3 linked regions of the Saccharomyces cerevisiae S288C genome follow. The gene in region 3 interacts genetically with the main gene of each other region. Each region holds a gene or a part of one and is shown on either strand. Other genes may lie near its edges.

Evidence for each region. A genetic interaction does not mean that the proteins touch.
Region 1: mutations in SRY1 (region 3) and ARR3 together harm fitness less than expected from each alone (positive genetic interaction), as found in Saccharomyces cerevisiae (one large-scale study listed by BioGRID).
Region 2: mutations in SRY1 (region 3) and YMD8 together harm fitness more than expected from each alone (negative genetic interaction), as found in Saccharomyces cerevisiae (one large-scale study listed by BioGRID).

What each region holds. Positions count from the first base shown.
Region 1 is NC_001148.4:936,951-942,016, reverse strand, and holds ARR3 (Arr3p), read right to left. Parts: upstream 2,096-5,066; coding exon 881-2,095; downstream 1-880. Other genes in the region: ARR2 (Arr2p), read left to right, coding at 2,346-2,738; ARR1 (Arr1p), read left to right, coding at 2,985-3,869.
Region 2 is NC_001145.3:201,895-206,775, forward strand, and holds YMD8 (Ymd8p), read right to left. Parts: upstream 2,210-4,881; coding exon 881-2,209; downstream 1-880. Other genes in the region: LFT1 (Lft1p), read right to left, coding at 2,492-3,514; CGI121 (Cgi121p), read left to right, coding at 3,748-4,203, 4,310-4,399; AMD1 (AMP deaminase), read right to left, coding at 4,534-4,881.
Region 3 is NC_001143.9:15,921-20,691, reverse strand, and holds SRY1 (threo-3-hydroxy-L-aspartate ammonia-lyase SRY1), read left to right. Parts: upstream 1-2,352; coding exon 2,353-3,333; downstream 3,334-4,771. UniProt on the Saccharomyces cerevisiae protein: Catalyzes the deamination of L-threo-3-hydroxyaspartate to oxaloacetate and ammonia. Shows a high specificity towards L-threo-3-hydroxyaspartate as other 3-hydroxyaminoacids, i.e.

The DNA of each region.
Region 1 (5,066 bases), on a different chromosome or scaffold from region 3:
TGGCGACATAAGACGTGTCCTCATGTCGCTATTCAAACGCAACTACAAGATCTTCTTACTCCCTATACTCATTCCCGGTGCCACTATATAACACCACTATGCTATACTATAATAGCAATACACATTAACGCAGATGCTATAATATCTTTACTTCATCTCACCAACTCAACTGATAATCATACAGACAGTACTATACAATACAGTCATTTACTAAAACGAATGCCGCTCCATGATATCCCAAACTTATACTGGCACCATTTTGAAACATTATATGTCACCTCTTCATCCTAATGACTTCAACTTCATGCATTATAAAATGGCAGCTACACGTACTTATGCGGGTACTACGACATAAGCTTATCTTGTCCTATTTCGTTACGTTAATTTTAATTAGACACTAGATGCACGAATTCCATTTTTATGCGAATGATCTATGAAGCCATTGTTGTACCATCACCATGTGCTATTCCATCGGGCTTACAATACTTGGGTTTAAAGCATTACTAATCTTGCAGGAAAATCTCAAAAATGACATACAATACGCAATAATAATTTTTCAGCGAGTTTCTAATTCAAAGACATTGTATTTAGAAGTGATGTACGTAACACAGTTTGCCACTTGAGTTCATTAGACTTTCAAAAATGCAATAGTAAGATTACGTCCCCTTCTTACTGAACTCCAAAACTGTGCGGAGTTTTTGAATGATGCGGGATGGCGTGAACAAACCCATTTTTTCATCCTAACCATCACTAAGATCAATCAGTTGTCCTTCAAAAAAAATTGTCAATTTTATCTGTTTTTAGGGTGAACTTGGATTAATATAGAGTTATAAGTGGTATTATTCATTGGTGCCCAAGTAATTTTTTGGTGAGTCAACAATTAATTTCTATTGTTCCATATATAATATGGTTTAAGGATCCTCGCGACTATTGCCAAAATCAATAAAATTGGAACTTCTAGCAACGGCCCAAATGTTGCAGCTATTGCTTGCTTGCTATTGTTACCATATAAGGAAATAGCAATTGCCAGGGATAGTTCAAAATTATTTGAAGCCATAGTGAAACATTGCGTCATCGTAATAGAAAAGCTAGCTTCACAAGACTTTCTTCCCCAGACCCTCTTTAAAAGTAGTTCTTGGTCACAGCTACATTCTCTTTGTGTATCACTCCTAGATATTGATAAGTACCTCATTAATGCGAAGGTCAAAAACCATGCAATAAAGAAGTAAAGCACCAATGGGACAAAGCACAATATTGCAGAACCAATTTCGTGGATAAATTGATAACCTCTACTAATAAAAATAACAAATAAAGTGTAATGAAATCCGATCATTGCCCATGGAGAAATAAATCTCAAAATGTATTTTTCATAATTACTTTTACCAGCTATGGTAAGACTTCCCAAACGTATGATAATGCCAATTCCCAGTGGTATGCCGAGAAAAACTCCGACAGACTTTGCAACCTCTTCGAATAATACCCTATTTGAAGTATTCAGGTGGTCATGAGAAATAACATAACAGTAAAATATCTGCAATGGTGCATATAATACCATCTGTAAAAGCGAGTTTGTAATAACAAGCACGACGCAGAGATCATTGTCTCCTCCAGCAATCTGATTCCAAATTAGCACCATGGCAATGCATCTAGCTACTCCGATCATAATAATGCCTTGACGGTATTCCTTATAATCGAATAGCGCCATCCACGCCAATGCTGTCATCAACAAAGGACCGATGACCCAATTCAAAAATAACGAGAGGGCTAGTTGCTTCCTTATATAGCTCCTGTAGAAGTACTTGTGAATAGACTCCCAGGAAACTTTGCAGATCGGGGGAATCATCATTACAATCATACCAACAGTCAAAGGAATGGACACTCCCATTAGATTGGGATGACCTTCAGCGTCAAAAGTGTGACGGGAAGAAGGCACATAGACAGAAATTATTACTGCAATGATTATGGAGAGAATTATAGTAAATGGCAACATCAAGTCAAGCCATGACAATGACTTGATCGTAGTCAGTATATCGGTGCGATTCACCATATTAACCTTAGAAGGTACCGAATTTTCACTTTTTTGATCTTCTGACATTATTCTACTAACCTGATGATTTGTTGGTTGGGTTCTCTTGAATTACAACGAGAGCATTCATTTATATTCTTTTCCGTTTACATTATAATTATGTAAGGAGCGTTGCCGCTAAAGTTGATTATTAATCAAACAAAAAGATAATTAAGAGCATTCAAAATTTGATTTTAAATCAACACTTTTGAAAAGTCGGTATAAAAACTAATGTATAACAAACTAATATTGAGGAAAACTTGACAATCCAGCAAGCGTAATGGTAAGTTTCATAACGTCTAGGCAACTCAAGGGCCTAATTGAAAATCAGAGGAAGGATTTTCAAGTTGTTGATCTTCGAAGAGAAGATTTTGCACGTGATCATATTACAAACGCTTGGCATGTTCCAGTAACAGCACAGATTACAGAGAAGCAACTGAATCAATTAATTAAAGGTTTATCCGATACTTTCTCAAGTTCTCAATTCGTCAAAGTGATATTTCATTGTACTGGGTCCAAGAATAGGGGACCAAAAGTAGCTGCTAAATTCGAAACCTACTTACAAGAAGAAGATATTACAAGTAAGTTTGAGAGTTGCATCCTCGTTGGAGGTTTTTACGCTTGGGAGACCCATTGTAGAGAGAGTAACCTTAAATTGATTGTTAGTGGTTGAGCTCCTCAAGCTTTATTGTTCCAGCATTAATGTAAAAGTCTTTTCAATATTTTATGTACGGCAAAACTTTTTAATTCCATTTTTTTTTTTTTTTTCGTTTCTTTTCTTATTAAATTAAATATAATTATAATTATAATATTCCTATCTTTACAAAATCATATTAGTATATAATTCTAGCATGCGGATGGTCTTTAAGGAGCGGCCGTTGAAAAAACATGTCAAAACGGAAGATAAGTGACCAAGATAATGGCAAAACCGCGTGGAAGAAAAGGCGGCAGGAAGCCTTCACTTACTCCACCTAAAAATAAGAGAGCTGCGCAACTTAGAGCATCCCAAAACGCATTTAGAAAACGAAAGTTGGAAAGATTAGAAGAACTAGAGAAGAAAGAAGCTCAGCTAACGGTAACAAATGATCAAATTCACATATTAAAGAAGGAAAATGAACTTCTCCATTTTATGTTGAGGAGTCTTTTGACTGAGAGGAACATGCCTTCTGATGAACGGAACATTAGTAAGGCCTGTTGTGAAGAAAAACCGCCCACATGTAACACTCTCGATGGTAGTGTGGTTCTTTCCTCCACATATAATTCCCTTGAAATACAACAATGCTACGTATTTTTCAAGCAACTGCTCTCAGTGTGTGTTGGAAAGAATTGTACAGTGCCGTCACCGTTGAATTCCTTTGATCGGTCCTTCTATCCCATAGGCTGTACGAATCTCTCAAATGACATACCAGGCTATTCTTTTCTAAATGATGCAATGAGTGAGATTCATACGTTTGGTGACTTTAATGGGGAACTTGATAGTACCTTTTTGGAGTTTAGTGGGACTGAAATAAAGGAGCCAAATAATTTCATTACTGAAAACACTAATGCAATAGAAACAGCGGCAGCGAGCATGGTGATTAGGCAGGGTTTCCATCCAAGACAGTATTATACAGTGGATGCTTTTGGAGGGGACGTCCTATTAAGTGCGATGGATATTTGGAGTTTTATGAAAGTGCATCCAAAGGTTAACACATTTGACCTTGAAATTTTGGGAACAGAACTTAAGAAAAGTGCTACGTGTTCTAATTTTGATATTTTAATTAGCCTCAAGCATTTCATTAAGGTCTTTTCGTCAAAATTATAATATTCTTCCTGTAAGCACAGCGCAACATTGTCTTTCTTATTGTTAATATATAAGTTAAAAGCCGAATTTTTCATTTATTTATATAGATGGCGTGAAGATTATTACGGTCAGATACCTTCGCCTATTTATGTACTTGCATGCGTTTAGATTTTATTGGAAAAAGTATTAATTTATCGTCTATCGACTAGTATTCACGTTACTAGTATATTCTGTATAGTTAATGATAGAGCCTTTATTTAAAATGGAAGTCCAATAACTATTTCAAAATCAAATTATATGTCAAAGATGTTCAACAAATTGGGAAGGCAAGAGGCGAGCACTAGGCCTGATACCCTTCTTAATGCCTTGACATACACGTGTCTATTTCTTTTTTCTTGTCGAGGTATTGAGGTATTGACCAATGCTGAATGCTTGATAATGTAATTAGGGATCGCGTACGACAAGTTTCAGCAATTGTTAGGGTGTTATTTTCATTGTTCCCGATTATGAGCACAATATGGCGGTCTTGTACTAGGATAACTTGGGCGTATGTTTCACTATACTAGAACCATGATTTTATCAGTGTAGAACAAATGCTGAAACTTTGATTCAAATACAAACATTTACTAAAACACTGTAATACGATCGATGTGGAGTATTCGATGAATATTTTTCATGTTTACGTTTATATAATTCCTTTCCAAACGCTTTTCGTCGATTAACTTGGAATTCTTCATAACATTGATTGGAACCCTTAGTTATCCATTCACCATGGAAAAGGTTTGAGAAAACTTTTTATAACTTTGTTGTAAACATATTATAGTAAAGTAGAAGAGCCTCTGCTATGCATGGTTAAGTAAAATTGCAATGTGCACGCAAGTATACATATATTGTAATTGATCGAAAAGAAGTTAAGAAATTTTTAATTACTAATGATTAATGGAAAGGAAAGGTCTTTTCTCATTTCGTTTTGTCATGATGTTCACAATAAGGGATATCAAGTAATCGGGCAACGCAAGTTAAACAGTTGCCAATTTGGAGCTGATATTTGATGGAATTTTTTTGGACTATTACAAATTGATTTATCGTCCTTCGTATGGACGTATCCATGGCAGTTTATTGGTTAGTTTCAGGTCTTTTTACGTAAGGAAGAATGCAATTAGTAGGTCACAGAACATAAGCGATAATGATTTCCAATTTCTGTATGTACTTATAAGC
Region 2 (4,881 bases), on a different chromosome or scaffold from region 3:
AGATCTATTACATTATGGGTGGTATGTTGGAATAGAAATCAACTATCATCTACTAACTAGTATTTACATTACTAGTATATTATCATATACGGTGTTAGAAGATGACGCAAATGATGAGAAATAGTCATCTAAATTAGTGGAAGCTGAAACGCAAGGATTGATAATGTAATAGGATCAATGAATATAAACATATAAAACGGAATGAGGAATAATCGTAATATTAGTATGTAGAAATATAGATTCCATTTTGAGGATTCCTATATCCTCGAGGAGAACTTCTAGTATATTCTGTATACCTAATATTATAGCCTTTATCAACAATGGAATATCAGCAATCATCAGATGAATGTTAAAATTGTGTAAGGATGCTCATTCTGTTTCGTTAACTTTCCAGTTTTCTCGAGGACTTCTGGTTCATTATACGTGAAATTATTTACCTAACCAAAATTATCAAACAATTCTTCCTTACTTCAGCTAAAGATTCGGCGAGACAGAGGTTGAACACAATGCAAGCGCATCGATATTTTTACGGCCGCAGTTGAATGGATCCAAAAGCATTGGCCAATTTAAATGAAAGAAATAAGTAAATTTCTAAAGATTTATCTAAGTGCCTCTTCTTTCCTGTATTCAATAATTTAGTGTCTAAAACGCAAAGGTATAAATTTGATAATGTTCTTTTATTAACTGTCAATAAAGTATATATGAAAAAGTGTGAAGAACCTTCGTATAAAATCTATCTAGTAAAATATTTTTAATTATGTGCGGATGTATTGTCTATTCCCATGTGCTTTGCTTATGTCCTGTTAGAGGACTTTTAAGTATGCTGTATACATGTTTTAAATTTTTGCCTTTATTCTTTCTCTCTCTTACTATATCGCTCTCAGACCTGCTGGGATGAACGACTAACGTTTTGAGCAATCATATCAAGCTCATACTCTTGATTTGTTAGGTCGACACTAATAGAATATGGTGCGATTTTCTTGCTTCCTAACTGTTCGAAGTCTTGAAATCCCTTTAACTCGTTACGATTATCTTGTGTCGAAACTGAATGATATTTTTGTAATAGATCTTGCTTATATCTGAAGTAATTATAATAGCATACATCTGCCATAATAATAAGCATTCCTAACCAATTGTAAAAACCACTTAATCTTTCAGAAAGAATAATTATACCAAATATTACCGTCAAAAGTTCCTTCACTATACCCACAATAGATACGGTCAGCACGGGCGTTTGCTCCAAAATACTAAACTCACAAATTGTCAACAAAAAGACTGCAAAACCAGGTAAAATTAACAAAACAATACCCCTCACAATGGATAGGACGGTAGTTTCCGTGCCGACACCGCCATTGCTCGTATCAAGCCTAAATATGCTAGAGCTGAATATACCAGGAAATGGTTTTTCCACAAGTAGCGAGGTAAGCAACAGAGTAATGCCCATTATAGGAGCTAACTGGTGGATTGTATGAATTGGGTGAGGCTTGGATTCTCCAAAATTCTCCAGCATTTTGTTATTGGCGAGGTTAACAACAGGTTCATTATCGACATTATCTTCATTTTCCGTGAAAAGGGCACCATCAGATTCCTCTACTGCTGCAGCGGTGTTAGTTTGAATTGGGTTGTTCCTAAGCATCAACTGCGTATAAACCCACCTTAACCCAGAAAGACAGCTACTTGCTAGGACAAGAAAGCTGCCAAAAATGACCAAGGCTTGGTCGTTTTTGGTACTGGTGGAATCGCTTGGTTTGAAAACCATTAATGCTACACCAACAAACATAATTATTACTGAAAGTGCCAACTTCCAATGAAACTTTTCTAGCTTGAAGATACAGCCGAATAAAAGGACAAAAGCTATGCTCGAAGATTTGATAATTGTATAAATTGTCAAGGGAACATACTGGAAGGAAACGTTACTGAGCCCGATATCACCTGCAGAAGCGACTGCCGTAGGGAGTAAAAATTTTAGAAAAAAACTCCAGTTAAAACCATTATTCTTTCTTAAAACGTTTTTCACTGGCTTATGCCTGAGCTTAATGTATATGCCGGATAGTAACCATAAAGTAGCCTGATGGAATGTTGTCACCAACACGGGATACCCAATACCCAATCCGTCCTTCGGATCGAACATCCATCTATTGTATATGGAGAGAGCTATTGAACAGAAATACCATCCAAATACAAATGCCAAAAAGACAGTCCTATTCATAGCAAAATGTGACACGAGAATTGAAGGTATAAACACTCGCTGTAACAACTTCAAGTGATCGTGGAAGTGATGAAAATGCAGTTATGAGTATAATCAGGCCAATTGACACTTTAAAAAAACAGAACAACAGCTTCTCGTGATGCCACTATCCCTTATATTTCCAGTTCTAAGCCATCTCCTTCTCATTCTCGACAAAAAAAATGGGTGTGATTATTTTGCGCTTTATTTTTTGGCGTCTCGTCGCCGATGACTCTAATAGATGTTGAAGCCTACAAGCATCTATTATATTTTCTTCTTTGGTTGTAATGGGATGAATGAATCTAGAGTTAATGAAGGAGTGCTGGCAATGCTGGGCTCGCTGGATGGATGATAACTAGATTGTGCAGGTACCTGTTCAAATCCATCACCATCATCATGTTCACTGCATCCAGTGTTAGTAACTGCGGGCTCGTGTACTTTGGGTTCAGCTTGTTGATCACTCATACTCTCTTGCTTTGATTGGATGGTATTTTTATCACTGAAAGTTGTATCATCGTCAGGTGATAGGCCAGATTTTTGGCTTACCTCATCCTGAATTTCATTTTTGGCCTCTATAGGCTTTTCGGATTTCTTTTTTGAACCTGATTTAGAACCAGAATGGCCCCAAAATCCAAAAAAACTCTTCCTTTTCGACTTATTTTTCTTTGTCTTATCACCGTCTGATTTCTTCTTTTCTTTGGGCAATTCCTTAACAACGAATTTCTGTAGCGGGTCCACTTTGAAATCGGAATTAGCCCACGTAGAAGGTTTCTTGCCATCAGCTGTATGTGCCTCATTTCTCTCAAATCTTTCTTCCACCATCCAACTTTTGCTATTGGGCTTTATACACTTATCAATCTCAGCAGAAGCTCTATCAAATAACTGACTGGTAGTAGTAATTTTGGGCTTGTTGCTTCCTCTGCTCGGAGAGCCCTGCTTGAAGGTTGTATTTATAGTTTCTTGATGAGAAGTAGGTGCTACATTATGACTCCAGGAAAATAGAACTGGCCCATCCAGCTGTAAAGCGCCAGAATTCATAGTTATGGTTTTTTCCTCATCAATCCAATCTCTTTGTATTTGCCGACATTTCCCATCAAGTTTGTCGGTACTCAATTTATTCCCCATTTGCATAGGTGAATGAAACAAACAGTTCATCAACCGCCTACCGTTCGCTACTTCATCTAATAACCCATATAACGACACATCTCCATTTTTGGCTTGCTCGGAGTCATCTTGCGGTGTGTATTCCTTACTGAACAACTGGTCGATTATTTTGTTTTCGTCCATAATTTGTCCTTCCCAAAAAATAACCAGCTTAGATTCTGACAATGCTTGTTTCTTTAATTGATGATCTGTAATATTCGTTGATCATTAATACCATTGATTTCAATATTTCATGTTTAATCTTTTGCGCGAAAATTTCAATTGCAAACCAAAATATACATCAACAATCTTTTATCGGTCAACAAATTTGTCGATATAACCAAATATACGTCGTCGCTGCCCATTATACAATCATCATGGTAGTATCCATCATACCGCAATTTCCTGATATCAAGGTTTCACTAGCATTGTTTGAACAGGTTAAAAATGCTAAAGAAATACGCTCTAAAATGAGTGAATTGTCGACATCCTTTGCCTTTATTGACCCCCGGTTAGTCTGTTCGGGGGAGCAGATGTATTCTGCAATTTACAAGACCTTAATAGAAGTGAAATATAACAAGATGAGAACAAGAAATTTGAATTCCGAGTGCGTACTATGTCTTTCACCCACTTCCAATATTAGTGATGCTTTCCTCAAATTCGGAATCAAAGACGATTCGTCACAGTTAATATGCCTTAAGTTCCATACTAATACTGACGATGTAGACAAAGAGCAATTGAGGACGATTATGACTTCTATAGTAAAAGGACAAGAGATCGAGTTTAATGATGACAATTTATCGAGATTTTATGACGAAGCGCTCATAAGAAAAGTATGTTTTAATAATAAATTCGAGGTAAAAACTTCAACAGCCTCACCAGAAACACATTGTACTAACTTCACCTTTGTTTTCCTTTTATTTTGTTTTTACCTATTAGATCTATAAATTAAGTGATGATTTCAAGCCCCAAGACGTAAATGGTCTCTCAAGAGCTTTGGTAGACGCTATTCAATTGAGGGGTGTGTAGATAAGAGATATCTAACGATAAAATTATAAAAAAAATTCTTTGATTATTTTTCAGATTAGTATTATTTGTTCTCCGTGAAGTCAGTGTATCGAACTGCCAAAAGTTCTCCTTATATACATGTGCGCGTATAACCATCACTTTTCTTCAATGGTTCTCTTGAAATTGGCAAAATGATTAACTAATTCCAGTTCAGTTGATAATGTATCGTATCTGTAGTTAATTCTAATATCAGGAACATTTGTTCTAACCACATCGTTACCTTCAACACCACTCTTGTCAAAATCTTTCCCTATCCAATGTTTTTTGATTTGTGCTTCCCACCCACTTTGCAACACGGAATTTCTTGCCAATTCACACATATCTACATTAGACAATTTATAAATTTGTGCTGCAACTGAGTATTCTTCGATTAATGGTTCTCTGGTATATGAGAATTGTAAAGGATCATCTGTGGATAGTGAGACATTCAAACCTCTTTTAAA
Region 3 (4,771 bases):
CCGCTGATGCCAACGATCTAGGGCCCTTCCATTTTAGGAAAAAGGGTATATACTCTGATGCCCTGTCTGGCCGAACATTCGTATATGTGGATGTATCGTGATCCGTTCGTATTCAATAAAAGTGTAACGATCTCATCTCAAGTCAAAAGTGAGAAGGGAATAACTAAAAAAGAAAAACTGATATTTTGACGTGACGTGGTTTATTAGCAAGTATGTTTCAACCATTCTCAGCGTAAACCCTATCACAATAACGTCTCTATGAAAAGTTTAACATTTTGTCTATCTCGGTTCAATCAGTTGAATAGCGAACCTTATAGCAAATAGCATTTTCAATAAAAATGTGACATACAGACTTCCACTTTTCTTGCTTTTCTCATGCTCTGTGTGATGCTACTGTTACCGCGGCACCACATTTTGGCATACGTCGGGACATTGGCGGCTGAATAGATTATACCCGTCGCCCTTTTTTCATCTCTCCTTTTCTTTTTGTCGTAAGCAAATTACAGAATTGAATATTTGAATAACCCTAAAAAAAATGCCACTCCCCTAAAAACAAACCAGATTAAGTTGCAAGAAATAGACTGATTGGAACATACGGGTCCTATTCAGTGCTCAATAAAAATTAAAATAATGTGATCAAACAACCCGAGACTATTCTTGAATTAGCATTAGCCACTATAAATTTTAACATTTTTCAGAGTCTTTCGTGCGGAGACCGTAAATATTAGCATTGACCTTGTCAATGAAGTAATTGTCTTTGATTTTAACCGTGTTAAAGATTTCGCAAAAGAGAAAGCTTGCTGGCTTGGAGCAGTAACTTTTTTTGATTTTTTTTTACAAGCACACATGCTTTTGCCTTTAGAATATTACGGCTCCTCATGTGGATAGTAAAAACTTGACCGTTGCATCTGTTCTCCTTCGAACAAAGAATAAATCGTCTGAAAAATCACATAGAAAAATAATAGAAAAATAAAAAACATAGTAACATATTTTAAAAGAGACCTTTTATTGAAGAAAATTTGGCGATAAAAATGATTATAACATTGAAATGACGAAGAAAAGGACAGTGCCCGAATTCTCGATTCCAATAAAAGGCGAAAAATTACAATCGCCAGCATGTTTGGTACGGGGCGACTCGTGGCATTTTAAAGTACGCTGGCATGTTTAAAGGTATTAGTGTTCTTGGCGTGGAAAGTGCAGGTGTCTCACTTTTTAGAACGAACAAATTCAAACAATATACAACAATCCGCCGAAAACATTCCAGAAATTAAGATTGTTAAGCACTTTTGCTAAGAAAAAAAAAGGGCTCTCCCCTGTGAATTAACTCAAAGGTAGCGTGTTCTGCCTATGCAAGGTGACCGTTTTTGCAGATATTGTAGTGAGATGCTCTACAAAAGGGGTTTCCTAATCTAATCTTTTACCATATCAAAAATGCCCTAATATTATTATTAAAGAGCTATCAAAGCCTGATTCCTTAGGTATATGACTAGTTCCCGAATTAATGGCATTGATTCATTACTTATTTTATTAGGGGGATGATAAAAATAATGATATCTTTTTCTGCAGCGTCATTTAAGTACTGATTGAGACTGACAGTTGTGATAGAGATATTAAGTAGTAGAAACGGTCCATGAATTGTTCTTTGTTAATATTCTTGCTGAGGGAGGCTTTTCTTTTGGGCTGCTATGCTTTCATTCTACTTAAGCAACGAGATAGGAAGCTTCAAAAGGTGAATGGTGAAATGCTGAAGAAGATTTCGTCATTCCAATCCTCGAGAGTGCGACGTAAGTAGTGACTCTAATGAATTTTCTATGCCTCATAAAGCTTGAGGTATATTTATCCATACGCAAATAATACACGATCTAGGATTATTGTAGTATGTTATTGTTTGACAATATCCTTGGACAAGTTCTAATCACTTATATTTCCCAAACATGATTCGTGTATTTTGGCGTTAGAAAACGACGGCAAGTAAGCTCCCAACATTTACTTGACGAGTTTTTTGTCACTATCATCACGCCCTAGAGCCAAGTTATATTTTTATCGTAAATTCTGTAAATTAACAGTCATTCTAAGCAGGTTGTTTTAATATTTACAGGTAACTTGGCTGACTTCTTTTAAATGTGGCTTCTATGACAAAAAAACTGAAAAAAATGACTAATTAGTAAATTCAGCCTCTTATCATAAAATCAGGGTCTATAGGACGGTACGTGAGAAAAAGATAAGCTTTGGAATATAAAGAGTTACATTTTCATTCTGCAAAAATTCAAATAAAGGAGTATTGAAAAAAAACTTAAAAAGTACAAATAATTAATATAGTTCGAGATATTTAGTTTTCATTGAGTTGGAAAAATGATTGTTCCCACTTATGGAGACGTTTTGGATGCCAGCAACAGAATTAAAGAATATGTAAATAAAACACCGGTTCTCACTTCACGAATGCTTAATGATCGACTTGGAGCACAAATATACTTTAAAGGTGAGAATTTCCAACGAGTGGGAGCGTTCAAGTTTCGTGGAGCAATGAATGCTGTTTCAAAATTAAGTGATGAAAAAAGAAGTAAGGGAGTAATTGCCTTCTCATCAGGAAACCATGCACAGGCTATTGCTCTTAGTGCAAAACTATTAAATGTACCTGCAACAATTGTTATGCCCGAGGATGCGCCCGCCCTTAAAGTTGCTGCTACAGCCGGTTACGGAGCACATATCATAAGGTATAACAGGTATACTGAAGATCGCGAGCAGATTGGGCGTCAACTAGCAGCCGAACATGGTTTTGCATTGATTCCGCCCTACGATCATCCTGATGTTATTGCAGGGCAAGGTACGTCGGCAAAAGAGCTATTAGAAGAGGTTGGACAACTTGATGCATTATTTGTTCCTTTGGGCGGTGGTGGGCTCCTTTCAGGATCTGCACTTGCCGCTAGAAGCCTTTCTCCAGGCTGCAAAATTTTTGGGGTTGAACCTGAAGCTGGTAACGATGGACAACAATCCTTCAGATCGGGTTCCATTGTTCATATCAATACGCCAAAAACTATCGCAGATGGCGCTCAAACACAACACCTCGGTGAGTACACATTTGCCATTATTCGCGAAAATGTCGATGATATTTTAACGGTTAGCGACCAAGAGCTAGTAAAATGCATGCACTTTCTTGCGGAACGCATGAAGGTGGTTGTTGAGCCCACAGCTTGTTTGGGATTTGCAGGTGCACTTCTAAAAAAGGAAGAGCTAGTTGGGAAGAAAGTAGGCATAATACTAAGTGGAGGTAATGTAGACATGAAGAGATATGCTACTTTAATCTCTGGGAAGGAAGATGGCCCAACGATTTAGTGTATACTTTTGAATTTTGAGTTCAGTTTTATAGTGAAGAATTGGAAAGCTTTAGTTGTCTACTTTCACACGGCATATATCATTTGACTTAACATTAATAACATGGTTGAGATTTTGAAGTGAGTTCAGCAAAAAAAGCCTCTAGCTGATTTATACTCTGATAACTCTACATATTTTTCTACTAGTATTATATTTCACTGAACTGACACCCTTATGTGGGAAAATTTTTTGGCAGAATGATAGTGTGTGAGAGGGAAGAATACTGCTTATGTCAAACTAATAATATAACTTCTGACTGTGACTATGAGCATTACTGGTATATTAGTTTCTTTTGCATATTTTGAACTAAAACAGAAGAGCGTTCCTAGGCTTACACCCAGTAAAGACATAGCTTCTAAGTTGAAAAAACATATCTCTACTTCAATTAAAGGTAACTGTCATAATGTCCTATTTTATACGCAGAAAAAATTCTCTTTTCCACACACAATATCGTCTGCTCTTATTACTAATCAATCGAGATCTTGCATGAAGATATTTATGGTCCACAGGAAAGGATAAGCCTCTATTTTAAGGAATTATTACCTAACCAAGACCAAAACTGTAGAAATCCTCCTAAATTTAGTTCTTCACTTTTTTTTGATAATCATAATATGTGTCAAGATATTCGCAGCAGCCACATATATGAATACCAAGTTATTCAACAATTGAGTTTTAAAGAGCAACCCTGAAGGATAAATTAGTGTTTTACATTATATCCGTAGGAAAAAAATATGGCGATATACGTGACAGATCCCACAAACAATAAAGCATCAAGCAAGGTCACCAGGTCAGTTCTACCGCAGAAATTAACGATGTATTACTTAGTGCTCTTTTGTAGCAATAAATTCGCGTGAAATACTCAACACATGTATTGATATAACTTTCAACATGTTCCCTTGATTAACAGTAGACGGGAAAAGAGTTACATGGTTATGTTCAAAATGGATAGTTATGACCAGTACCAACTAACACTCAATATTCTTTTATGATTTGGAAGATCAAACTGTTGCACAATCAATTGGATTATAGTTTCTCTATTTCATTAATTATTATAACAACAAATTAAGTGAATTAAATATTGAAATATTATAATATAATCAGTTAATGGGTTTGACAATAACCATTTTTAATAATATTAGGAAAAGTAAGTATTAGGTTATTATTTATTTAATAATTTGAAAATTAAATAAATTAATATAATCTTATCATTTTTATTTATATATTATTTTATTATCATATTATTATTATTTATTATTTCTATATTATAATTTTTTTAAATTTTTATATCGTATAAATATTGATAAAATATAATTATTAATAATAAATTACAACATTTAAATAATATAAATAATTGAACTATTTTATAATAAAATATAAAAAGAATAAAAATTTCTTCTTT